3 linked regions of the Neodiprion lecontei genome follow. The protein of the gene in region 1 interacts with the protein of each later gene in a pairwise test. Links are inferred from orthologs where the notes say so. Each region holds a gene or a part of one and is shown on either strand. Other genes may lie near its edges.

The links.
Region 2: the proteins of membrane-associated guanylate kinase, WW and PDZ domain-containing protein 2 (region 1) and protein hu-li tai shao interact in a two-hybrid assay, tested with the Caenorhabditis elegans proteins (2 studies listed by BioGRID). The link is inferred for Neodiprion lecontei from reciprocal best matches to the Caenorhabditis elegans genes magi-1 and add-1.
Region 3: the proteins of membrane-associated guanylate kinase, WW and PDZ domain-containing protein 2 (region 1) and 43 kDa receptor-associated protein of the synapse homolog interact in a two-hybrid assay, tested with the Caenorhabditis elegans proteins (2 studies listed by BioGRID). The link is inferred for Neodiprion lecontei from reciprocal best matches to the Caenorhabditis elegans genes magi-1 and rpy-1.

The regions. Positions count from the first base shown.
Region 1 is NC_060264.1:36,470,655-36,474,411, forward strand, and holds the start of membrane-associated guanylate kinase, WW and PDZ domain-containing protein 2, read right to left. Parts: upstream 2,964-3,757; 5' UTR 1,994-2,963; coding exon 1,924-1,993; intron 713-1,923; coding exon 493-712; intron 393-492; coding exon 1-392.
Region 2 is NC_060263.1:22,533,732-22,537,488, forward strand, and holds the start of protein hu-li tai shao, read right to left. Parts: upstream 2,776-3,757; 5' UTR 2,761-2,775; coding exon 2,656-2,760; intron 1,776-2,655; coding exon 1,638-1,775; intron 1,350-1,637; coding exon 1,160-1,349; intron 358-1,159; coding exon 1-357. UniProt on the Caenorhabditis elegans protein: Membrane-cytoskeleton-associated protein that promotes the assembly of the spectrin-actin network. Plays a role in time-dependent memmory loss and the retention of conditioned behavior over time.
Region 3 is NC_060263.1:35,028,269-35,032,025, reverse strand, and holds the start of 43 kDa receptor-associated protein of the synapse homolog, read right to left. Parts: upstream 2,619-3,757; 5' UTR 659-2,618; coding exon 621-658; intron 1-620.

The sequences.
Region 1 (3,757 bases):
TTCCATCTATCCAGGCTGGTCCGTTTGGCACGACACTTTTTATCTGAAGGAATTCTTCAATAGTGTCATCTCCACCGACAATAGTGAAACCCAGTCCTCTGGTACCTTTCAGCAGCGTACTACGTATTCTTAGCCCCTTTAATTTATCAGGGTTTCTAGTGAATACTGAACTTTTACAGTCTGTCACGCCCTGCTGAGCCCGTTTGGCTTGGAGTACTGGGTTCTCGTATTGGGTTCGCCGATTCACATGGTCGATAAAGTAGGTTCCGTACAAAGTATCATCTATTTTTTCCCACCCATAAGGTAGCTCGTCATCTAAACATTCTTCTAGGGAACGTTTTTGAAATTTGGACAACCTTGGATCAAGCCAGTGCGACGTGCCGCTGTTATGACTTGAATAATATACGGTAATAAGTTGACTAGCATCCTATTTGAGAAAACCATATGCAATATATTTTTACAAAATTTCTCACAACTTTCAGTATTACTTACTCGATAAAATACACTTCTCCAGTGTCAGTGTAGGCTTTCTCCCAATTGGATGGAAGGGGTCCTAATTCATCCTCAGATGCACGATCTTGGTTGCTATGCTCTTGGTCTAGATCCCTTGTAGTCTGGCCAGATCCTGTATTATAGAGATAACTTGGAGGTACCAGATGAATCGAACCATTTGCATTCCCAATTTTTTGAACTTCTTTGTCGCTACAACTGCCTATTGGTAGAGAACACAAACTATAATAATTTGAAATTGAAAATCCAGAAAAGACTCACTAATTACAGAAATGTTATTAAACGATTTTGCCAAAATAAAGTATCGTTGAACAGCTCTAAGACAGAATGCATCATCTTTGTGGCTGTTACAAGAATAACTCACCAAATGAGATAAACATACGCATTTCAGGTGATATAATATAAAGAGTTGAAAAATTTAACCACTTACGGATCATTTTCAATTTTAATATTAGATGGGATGCGCATAAGAATAATGTATTCGAAAAAACACTAGGTATTTTTTATGCGTTTTAGCAAACTGAGACGTGCAGCTCCATTTGTTTTATACGCTATTTATCATATACTTTTTAACAGTATCACAAACTATGGTTTAATCGTTTGGGGGAGGGGCTTATGAAAACACTATGGCTCCATTAGTTAATCTCCAACAAAGAATGATAAAAAAGTTACTCAAAATTATCTACTTCAAACCTTGCTTAATCCCTGTAATTTTTATATTTCAAAAATATTATTTTTAAATACAAGAATGTGGAAGAGATCTACCTCGCATCAGTTTTCAATCAGGTGCAAGGAAGCAACTTGCGCCAGTTCGACAAGTTACGAGAACAATCTACAAAAACAACCCGAAATATATGGTTGCTGAATATTTCAGCTTGTCATCTAATAATCTAAAAACTCTAAAAATTAAGACATGTACTGCAAAAAGAATGATTATGAAATGGCTAAATGAAGAGTGCATGCTTTCATAGCTTGATTATATGGGCTATCCGAAATCATTTGATATGATTATTGTTATTATTGTTATTATTTACTACTACTTTTGCTATTGAGAACCAAGGGTAATGAACTATGCTCTCTCTATCATTGTTTTTAAAATAGGTATTCATTGGCATGTTCTTCGTCTTTGTTCTATTTGTCTATAAAAATATTATTGAATGTATTTTTCATATGCCTATATGTATGTACGCGTGTGTATGTACGTATGTATAATTGTATTATTTCTAGTTCATACCCATGTACAGACGGTGTTTCATCTCTGTGAGATTCAGAGTGTTTACATTGTATTACTTTGAATTTTGACGAATAAATTAAAATTGCAATTTTTGTGAATGATACTGATTTGTCAACATGGACTACCAAAGTCTATAAAGGAGTTAGTAAGTCAGTAAATAATAGTTGGATTATTTTTACCGCAGTCAAAACCATCGTTGGAAAGAGCTGTGTTGCTTTGGGCAGCCATCTCGTGTTTTCTACCTAGCATATGATAGCGAGTAGCAATTATGCCTTTCTGATGTTTTTTAGGTACTGAGTGTTATCAGCCAAAACTGGTAGCTCCCTGACATCTCTTGGCCATATTCGTTGTTCTTGATGAATCAGCCAGATCCTTGCTCATAAAAATCAGCATCGCCGTATTTCTTTCATTGTCATAGGATTTCCGTTACGATATATCTATTTCAAATGCATTTTTGCACAATAAAAAGAAAATGCTTGCAGACCCGGATTGAAGTCTTTCACAGCTCGGTTGAATTCGTATGTACAATTGTGGAAACAAATTAAAGCAAGACTAACATTTCGATTGTAAGTACAAAACTCTGCAGGCATTGATAATTATTTGTCAAATGAAAACTAAGACGAAATAATTGAAAATTTTTCCGCACAAATTGAATGGACTTATTTCAAGCTATCGTTCGTGAAATTTACACAGACGTGGAGATGGTAGTGAGGAAATTGCGAGGCGAACGACTATTGAGATTCTGACAAATAACATACAAGTGTCAAATAAATCAAGCCAAATTTACTAAGCTTAAATCTACCTCCGCGAAATTGATTATTCAGAACAAATGCTTGTATGCTTGTTTCCAAATATGTGATCGACAATCTCATTTGTGTTGTTGTTGTTGTTGTTGTGTTGTTCCTGCTGTTGTTGCTGCTGCTGCTGCTGCTGCTGCTGTTGTGGTGGTTCTTGTGTCCCACTTGCCCAATAAAAGAGATTTGTTGATTTCTACAGTATGGCTACTCCCTATCGGTCTCCCCTTCCACAATGCAATAATATCCCTACTGGTTTGCTGAACAACGAAGGAACAAATATTTCCAAAATGAATCACACCGAAATCTTAGAACCGAGCTAGAGTAGACACGGTTTAGTACTCATCGCATATAAACAGCACTTGTTCCAGAGATATCGGGATTTGAGGTAAAAACATGAAAAGCAAACTCATTTGAAGAGAGAAGCACGGACAACGAACCTGTTGTCCGAAAATACTCGTTAAGTAACCGGTAGTTCCTATAGGTGGCGCTGAAGTCCCAAGAAAATGTAGGGCGTTGACTGGAAGATTGCTAGACAGGTTAGCAACGGTTATCATTTTAAAGCAAGGAAGAGGGCACGGCGGTGACGGCAGTGCTCTACAGTCAACAACCTGCTAATGGATCTTACCATGTAAATTTAGTCTGCAGGATAAAAAATGTTTATACCGCAGCTTCGCCACTGGCCTATATCTATGACTCTTCTACTTTTAACTGTTCCCTTGTCCCCCGCCATGGGGCCGATAGAAAAGAGAAAGGAGTACTCCCGACATATCTCTTTGCTGTATATGTTAGCTTCAGGGGCCGGATTCCGAACATCAAGCGAGTTCGAGTTAGTGAGTTCTACGGTTTTTAGTTCTGAACATCTATTTTTCTCTCCTTTCTTAGCTATCGCCCTCTATCAACAGCATGTGCCACTTCGTAATAATATTTAACATCGATAAGCTCTGTACCGACCGTGATGTTCATTAACCATCGACTATAATAATAGTATGGAGAGCGGAAAACCGTAGAACTAATTCGAACTCGCTTGATGTTCGGAATCCGGCCCCAGCAACGGCTTCAGTGCCCATTATGGGAGGAGTGCTCATAGTGCTCAGTCTATTGTCTATCCTTTAAGTGTATAGGTGGGGATGGGTTTCTTGTTGAAGCTCAAAAGTTCTGGAAATTGGCCGCAAAGTTAGAGCGCTGCAATCTCGTAGTACCCCAACGTAAACAAGCC
Region 2 (3,757 bases), on another chromosome or scaffold:
GGATAATGCATTTGATGTCGGGTCTAGCAGCGTGTATTGTTGAATGTAACTGAAATCCGGTAATATGTACACCAAAGTTGGTCGTTCCCTGCTCAACAACAGATCCCTGCATATCTACTTTGACCAAACTAGACGCAGTGACTTCGTGATAGAGAAGACCATAAGGATTGACCAAAAAGTGTTCCTGATCTTGATTCAGACGTGCTGTAATGTGGCCTCCGACACCCTGCGTCCATCCGTAGAGATCAAGCAATCTGAACACAGCAGCTAGCTTGCATCGTAGCAGTTTTTCACCTTTAGCATATCCCATACTCTCGACTCCTCGAATGTCATTTATAGGCACCACACAGTTTGAACCTTTAGCAGATATCATGAAAATGATTTATAACTTTATATTTCTATTAGTTGTAAAAATCTACGTATTTCCAAGTATATCCAAGTATTCATTTCTTTGATACTCATTATTGCAATCTTTAAAAACATTTTTATGCTGTTAAAAATTGAAAGATTTTGACAATTGTGAAATATAAATAAGAAGATTGTGACGAATGCGAAGTAATGCACGAAATTTGTTTTCACAAATGACAGGACATATGAGTAATTTTAGTTCAAGTCTAATGAGTTCTAAATTTCTACTCAGATTGAACGCAAATTTTTCTATTTAGTCACATTTTCATTGCACAACTATACCTCAAAGCATAGTTGTTCCTTTTACAATTAACAACTTGTCAAATGTTTTTCTTTAAAATGACTCGCCTTACGAACAAAATGGCCAAGACTTGAGATGTTCATTTTGATTCAGTTTAGAAAAAAAGAAATAATAATAATAACAACAACAACAACAACACAACAATAATAATAATAATAATAATGCAAACGTCCAATGCCTACAACGATATGACACAATTGGAATTTCCAGAATAACCGATTTCTGATTTCAATGTCTGTTTGAATAGTACAATTAAGACTTCCTGAGATGAAACTGACTATTGCATATAGAATTTCCAAGTATGTCAGTTAACTTTATTCTCGACGGTTCTAATTAGAATTCCTTGCAGTAAGTTGGAATATAATTAACATGAACGTAAAAAATGGAAAAAAGATTTTTTCCACAACATAATATGGTTTTTTCAAGCAACTGAATTAGTAGAATACTAACTTTTGAACACATTTGAGTTGAAGCGAGCACCTTGTGCCCCCATCATATCAGATATTTGTTGAAGGAGTCCGGAAGGTCCCGCCCCCCCGTCTTTCATCTGTGTTTCAATAATTCGCTCCAATTCTTCTCGGAAGAGTCTAGAGTTCATCATCATCTCGACCCTCTTCCTTCTCTCCATTTCACGCATATCCTAGGAATCGAACAAATTCAAGTGAAATTATCTTCAATTCTCAATCACGTTAAAATGAAATTTTTTTCATCATCTGCTACTTCACCTTTGTTAGCAATGAGCTAATTCAAAAGGACAATATATTTCTAATACTATTTTATTACTTATGTAGATGGAAATCAATTTTCATTTGTCAATCAATTCTTAAATTTTGTTCTAAAGTTGAGTTCAATTATGTGGCAACGAACAGAGCGATAGATAAATTTCAAAAGAACGCAGGAATTTCCATGATTAAAAGGGGAAACTTACAGCATCTATATCCGCAGGCCGCATTTTGCTTTTTTCTTCTTCGGTGAGGCCATCTACTGCCCCATTAGTGTGCGGCTCCGAGAGCTCCTGCTGACTCGTGTCCGCCATCCTCGCACCACCCCCAGCTAACACCCACTCCTGCAATAAAAAAAACAATGCAAAATTTAATTTTTTGATGTATATAAGATACGATAATTTAGGAAGCAAAAACTTGCCAACCAAAAAAGAAAAATAAAAAACTATATTAATATTAGATAATAATCGAAAGATGAGATTGTTTGAAACGTTCGAAAATTATAATTCAACTGTTCCACTTGACCTTGATTTTAATTTTAGAATTGTTTACACGTGCATACATTCTGACGTTAGTCGAGTTGCTACTGATTATAATGCTACACGATTATTAATTATCATGATACGGTCACAAGTTGTATGCCTGGTTTTACAGGAACGTGTACATTTAAACAAATATTCATCGAATGAAAACTAATTTTCAAATACTTGCCAACCTAAACGACATGTAGGTATAAAGTATTAAAAATTTAATCATGTAGAATGCATAGGTGTGTACTGTACAAAAAAAATCACTACTAATGGCCGTCGCTAAAATGGTTTTTTGTTTTGAGATTTTAATTCTTAGGTTTTTTCCAATATTAGTTAGTATTCAAAATTTCTCGCTCGTCATTTAAAAAACAGTTTTTTTTTCCACAGATAAACATCCTCATACACAGTTATTAAATATCTGAACATAAACACTCTTTGCGAATAATATTGTACGTTCCGTACATATTAAAATTTTCAGATTCAACAGCGTTCAAAAACTTACATCCGAAAAATCTTAACAAACAAATAGGAGTTTCCATGTCATTGTATAGCTCAATTAACAATAATATCCCATTAATGCGAAATAGTCAATAGCCTGTACTTCACAGATCTTGTCAATATGTTGATTGGTGGCGCAATTACAGGCACATGTAATTTTCTGTAGGCGATATTTTCCGAGCATACGAACACTCACCAACGAGCCTTCATCCGGATAATCCTCCATAAAATCGGCATGCTTTATTACAGTGTTTATGAGTGCTTGATGAACTATATTTACACCGACAGTGAGATGCAGCATGACGCACAGTTAAAATAATTCACATTTAATTATGTATATACGAGTGCACTGGCTGGTCATTACTTTTTTTCTCTTTGCCCATTTAACATGAGATAACAGATAATTTCATGCACAAATGGAGTTAGTTAGTCGATAGGTGGAATGATCTTTACAACGACAAATTTCGCGGACACAAACATCGTTCCTAGAAGAATATTCGAGTACGTAGATATTGAAAGCGTTAATGAAAACCGGAAGAGAGTTGATTGCGAGTCAACCTCGTTTATCTAGCATCAAAGGCAGTGCAATTTACGGGTAGTTAATCATTTTATAACCACCGCGACGTGTACAAGGGCGACATCTCAAGTCACAAACAGTTCACGAAGATCCTCATCTCTTTATTTCAATTTTAATATTACAAATAATCGCTGATTATATTTTATACGTAAAACACCTGCAGCCCGCAGGAAAGACGACGATAATATGAAGGAACGAAGCGATGAACAGGTGCTTTTTACACGCGCCATTAAAAATTCCTATTATATTAGGCCAAGTATAAGCTCAACAATAGGTTCTTCTTTGCTCACTGTACCAGAGTTTTAATGTGTCGTTACATCTATGCATGTATATAAACAGTATTATATAATACGATCGCAGACGTTGCGTCTCCCGTTAGTAGCTTACATCACTTTATAAACTGAATGTTATCATCGGCAAAGACACGTGACGTTAGTTAGAAATTGTTTAACTGATATCCCGTGCCGGTTTATCACTGAGAAAATTAACGTAGACTGATTCGTCGGTCGGTAGAAATAAGGTAAAGCTAAAATTAGACTTCAGCTGCCGAAATAAAAATATTAGCGTGTTCAAAAATGGCCACATTTCAATCCGTTTCCGGAAAAATTCATACATGAGTAACGTGTCACAACCTCAAAATGATTGAAAATTAGCTGCAGGTATTATCACTGTTTTCTTCAATTTTCTCACCTTTATTCGATGCTCATACAAGCAATGTTGC
Region 3 (3,757 bases), on another chromosome or scaffold:
CACTGACACACCGACGTACGTCCTCTAAAGCTCGACGCACAACAGCGGCGTCAACGCGAGCGGGATTGTGCACTATTCGGTCACTGAAATGGGGCGATTCAATGTTCAGCTACTGGAGGTGCCCCAAATCTCTCGACAAGTTTAATTACGCCGGCTTTGATCGTCCGGCTTTTCCACAATTTTGGAAGCTGTTCCGCCTTGATAATTAACAATTTAAAGCACCGCACACGTCCAATGGGATTAGCTTAATTCCCTGAATGATTCGTAGAGATAGGCTCTTTCCATTACCTACGTACAACCAAGTTCGAACACGTACGCAACAACGTGTTTCGTAACGTAAATTTTTGCGAAAGTTATGCTTCGTTTGTAAAATGTTTCTCTGGAGGTATTTCTACATCTTTACACCAGTAATATTCCAACGAACAATCAATCGCGACATGACCGAAGCACCGGAACATTTCCCATCCGTTACCCTTGAAAATCAACAACCCTCCGCGACCCTGAAAGACATTATTTCATTTTATATTCCGCCACTCTGTTCTTCTTCGGTCATGGATATAAGGGTCGCGGCACTTTGGAGTGGATTTGAGGGAAACGAGTGGCGGGATCGTCTGGCTCACCTGAGGTACTCCCTGGACGCGATGGACTCCCATGACATGGCGGTGCCTCTCTCGCCCCCGTCCCTTTCCTCTTCGTCCCTCTCTGACGACCCCCACTGCCAGTCTCATCTTTCTCCACCGCCATTATCCCCAGCACCGCACCTGCAGGCCGCACTCAGGCAATACATAACACCTCGGCGAAGTCACACTCCTGCGGCGTTTCTCGATCGCGAGGACCGGGAACCGGCAAAGGCTTCCCTTTCCTCGTAACGGACACTCGGCGATTAAACGACCAGCGAAAACTCACCGGGGCCGCGAGGATTCGGGTTTCTTGACATCTATGGTGCCGATTCGGTGGTTCTTACGGGGTTTTCCGGCCTCTCAGCACAGCTCTTCAGGCCTTGAAGGTCCCGGACTCTCCCGAATCGCAGCTCGAAGGTGAACCGATAGTGGCTAAGTGTTCCGTTCTGTTGTGTCACCAGATTGTGACCCGATTATTGGCGCAGCTACTGCTTAACTGACTTTCCCAGTGCCGTTCTTTGTCCATTCAGTTGATCTTTTTTTCAAAATTTAGCGCAGCTCCAGAGAGAGGAACTCGTGCAGACTGCGGCGAATGGCTCATTAATCCACTGCTCGGTTTTTATTTTTGCACGATACTCTGAGCCACGAATTTTGTACCGTATTGTTCTCTGGTGTACCTATTGTTCGCTGGTCTTCTGCTGGATACAGAAGTACAAGACTGACGGCCTCGACTCGTTTTCCGCACGTTTATCATCGACACGCGTATATTCGTGGCTGAATGACAGCCAAAACTGGCACCGAGGTTTTTGAGCTTACCTTCCAAGTTTCATACCCGCTAAGCTATTGCGTGGTTCTGATCAAGATTACGAGGCGGTGGTAACTCGACAGATCTGTCAATAGACTAGAGTTTGCATATAGTTCAGGGCAGTAGCAATTATCGGAAATGAGTTTAATCGCTCGACCTTTGCTCCGCTGATTAGAGAGGGTTCGGGCAGTTGTTTGTTACGCTTCGGAGCCCGGGAGAAGATCGCACCGATCAATCTCCGGAAAAATTTCTCGACCAGGAGAAAAGTAAATTGTTTGGAGCTTGTCCACTCGGCCGTTTAATTTCTCCCCGCGAATCAGGCTGCGTTATAAAAAAATCCGAGCGAAAGAGAACGCTAGGTAGTCGTCTGAGTGAAACCGAGATGAAGATGGAGACTGAAAACTTAAGATGCGAAAAGAGTTTACGGAAGGGTAAAGAAGTATTTCAAGAGCGACAGTCACCCATCCTCCAATTACATCACGATTCACGTTTTATCCTTGCACACTGTACGTAATATCCTTAGATGGGTGAAAATTTTTCCATTGAACGTAGTCCGACTTTTAGAGAAAAAAAAGTAGTACAACGAATAACAAAAGTGGCACGCTTATTAGCACTTTTAATCCTGTGGGTGTTTTCCACGATTACGTAAATACATCGCAGTTCGAACAGGATCCTCCTTTTGAACCCTGTCCTTCCCACTGGAACACTTTCAGAGTCTCAGAAGTACGAATTCGTTTCGTAGATAGCGAAAAGCTTTGACTGTAATCGGTGTACGAAGGGTACAGAGAGTCAGTGGTCTGCAAGGTGGTTCTATCCTGGAACGTCGTCTCTTGGAGCATGCAGCGTAGTTATTGCCAGATCGCTCAAGATTGGCCAACACTTTTATACAAATACTGATAACCAAATTTCGCTGTAGTTGATTAGGCGAAACATTAGGCGGTTCACGCGTTAAAATTTAATCCTTCGAATCGGAGTAGCGAGAGATCCTTGCGGTAACGGATTAAAGTCGGTTCACACGTTCACACGATCTCCGAGCGGACCGAAGGCCTCCGATTCCGCGCCTACTTTATACAAAGTATGTTACAAAGTTCGGACGTCGACACTCCGACCCCGGGTCCAGTGAAGGTTAGAGGTTCGCCGATAGGCGACGGTCAGGCCCTGTCGAACAACGAGGCTGCGGCGAAGCTCTGCCGGCCGTGGTTGGAGCCGAACTGTCGCGCCCGAGCCGCAGCAGCCCGCAACACACGACCCTCCACCCCCTACCCCCCTCCTTTTCATCCCCTTCACCGCCTCACGCCATTCCATCCTCGCACTTCTCCACCGCTGCCGTACCCTTTCTCACTTACATCTCGCCGACTATACGATACACCCACCGACTTCTATTGAAGACTTGCTTTAATCATGGTAGGTAGGTACATGCCTACCATACTCCTGGGAGAGTGCATGGTCACGGTGAAATCAACCCTCATTCGACGTCCAGCCTCACTTAACGGTCCAAGACTGATGTGGAACGGTGAAATCACCCCGGCATTCCTTACCGAAAGTGATCGGGATCTCAGTCAATCGATTACGAGAAGCGCGCAAGCGAGGGACTGAAATTTGTCAGGAATTATCGATGACAAGCTGCACGATCATTTGGTTGTCGGACGCATGGAATTATGCAATTTTCATGGAAACTCGTAGATTCTTGTCGTACTTTTGTCATGTCCTCCACATCTGGGGCTCGTAAATTTCTTTCTACCACAATCCGCAATCTTCCCGTTAATGACTAGAGCAGAAACTCTGCAGTGACTGACTGTTTGAGTGTTTGCGGCTGTGGCTGCGGACGGAACTTCGCTTAACTTCGGACGGCTTCTGCAAGCCACGTTGATAAACTCGAACAAGATTGAATGCAAATGAGTTGATCGATTTTTCTGGGTTCTGAGGTACTAGCTCGTATCTTCCTACATGGAGCTTTAACGACGAGGGACTTAAACGCACTTGCACGCATTGTTCTTCGAACGCGTCTTAACGACGCGTCTCCTTCAACCGCCATTCAACTTGAGATGATGGGTGATCTGTTTAAGTCGAGTCTCGTATTTTGCCGAAAACTTGTCTCGCCCAGGTGCCGGTCGAGGGGAGCTCGTTAACTCTGATGAAACTGTATGGAAACAACAGCCTAAAACGAAGACCGATCGACTTTTCGAACGACGATAAAAAAAAGCCATCTTCCCAGATGAAAGGAGTACGTTCTGAAGCTCTCAGGACCATCTTCGTTTTGAATATCCAACGACAACGCGTTATTTATAGATGTATTTACGGCCTTTGAGGTACGACGTGAACCAACTTCGGT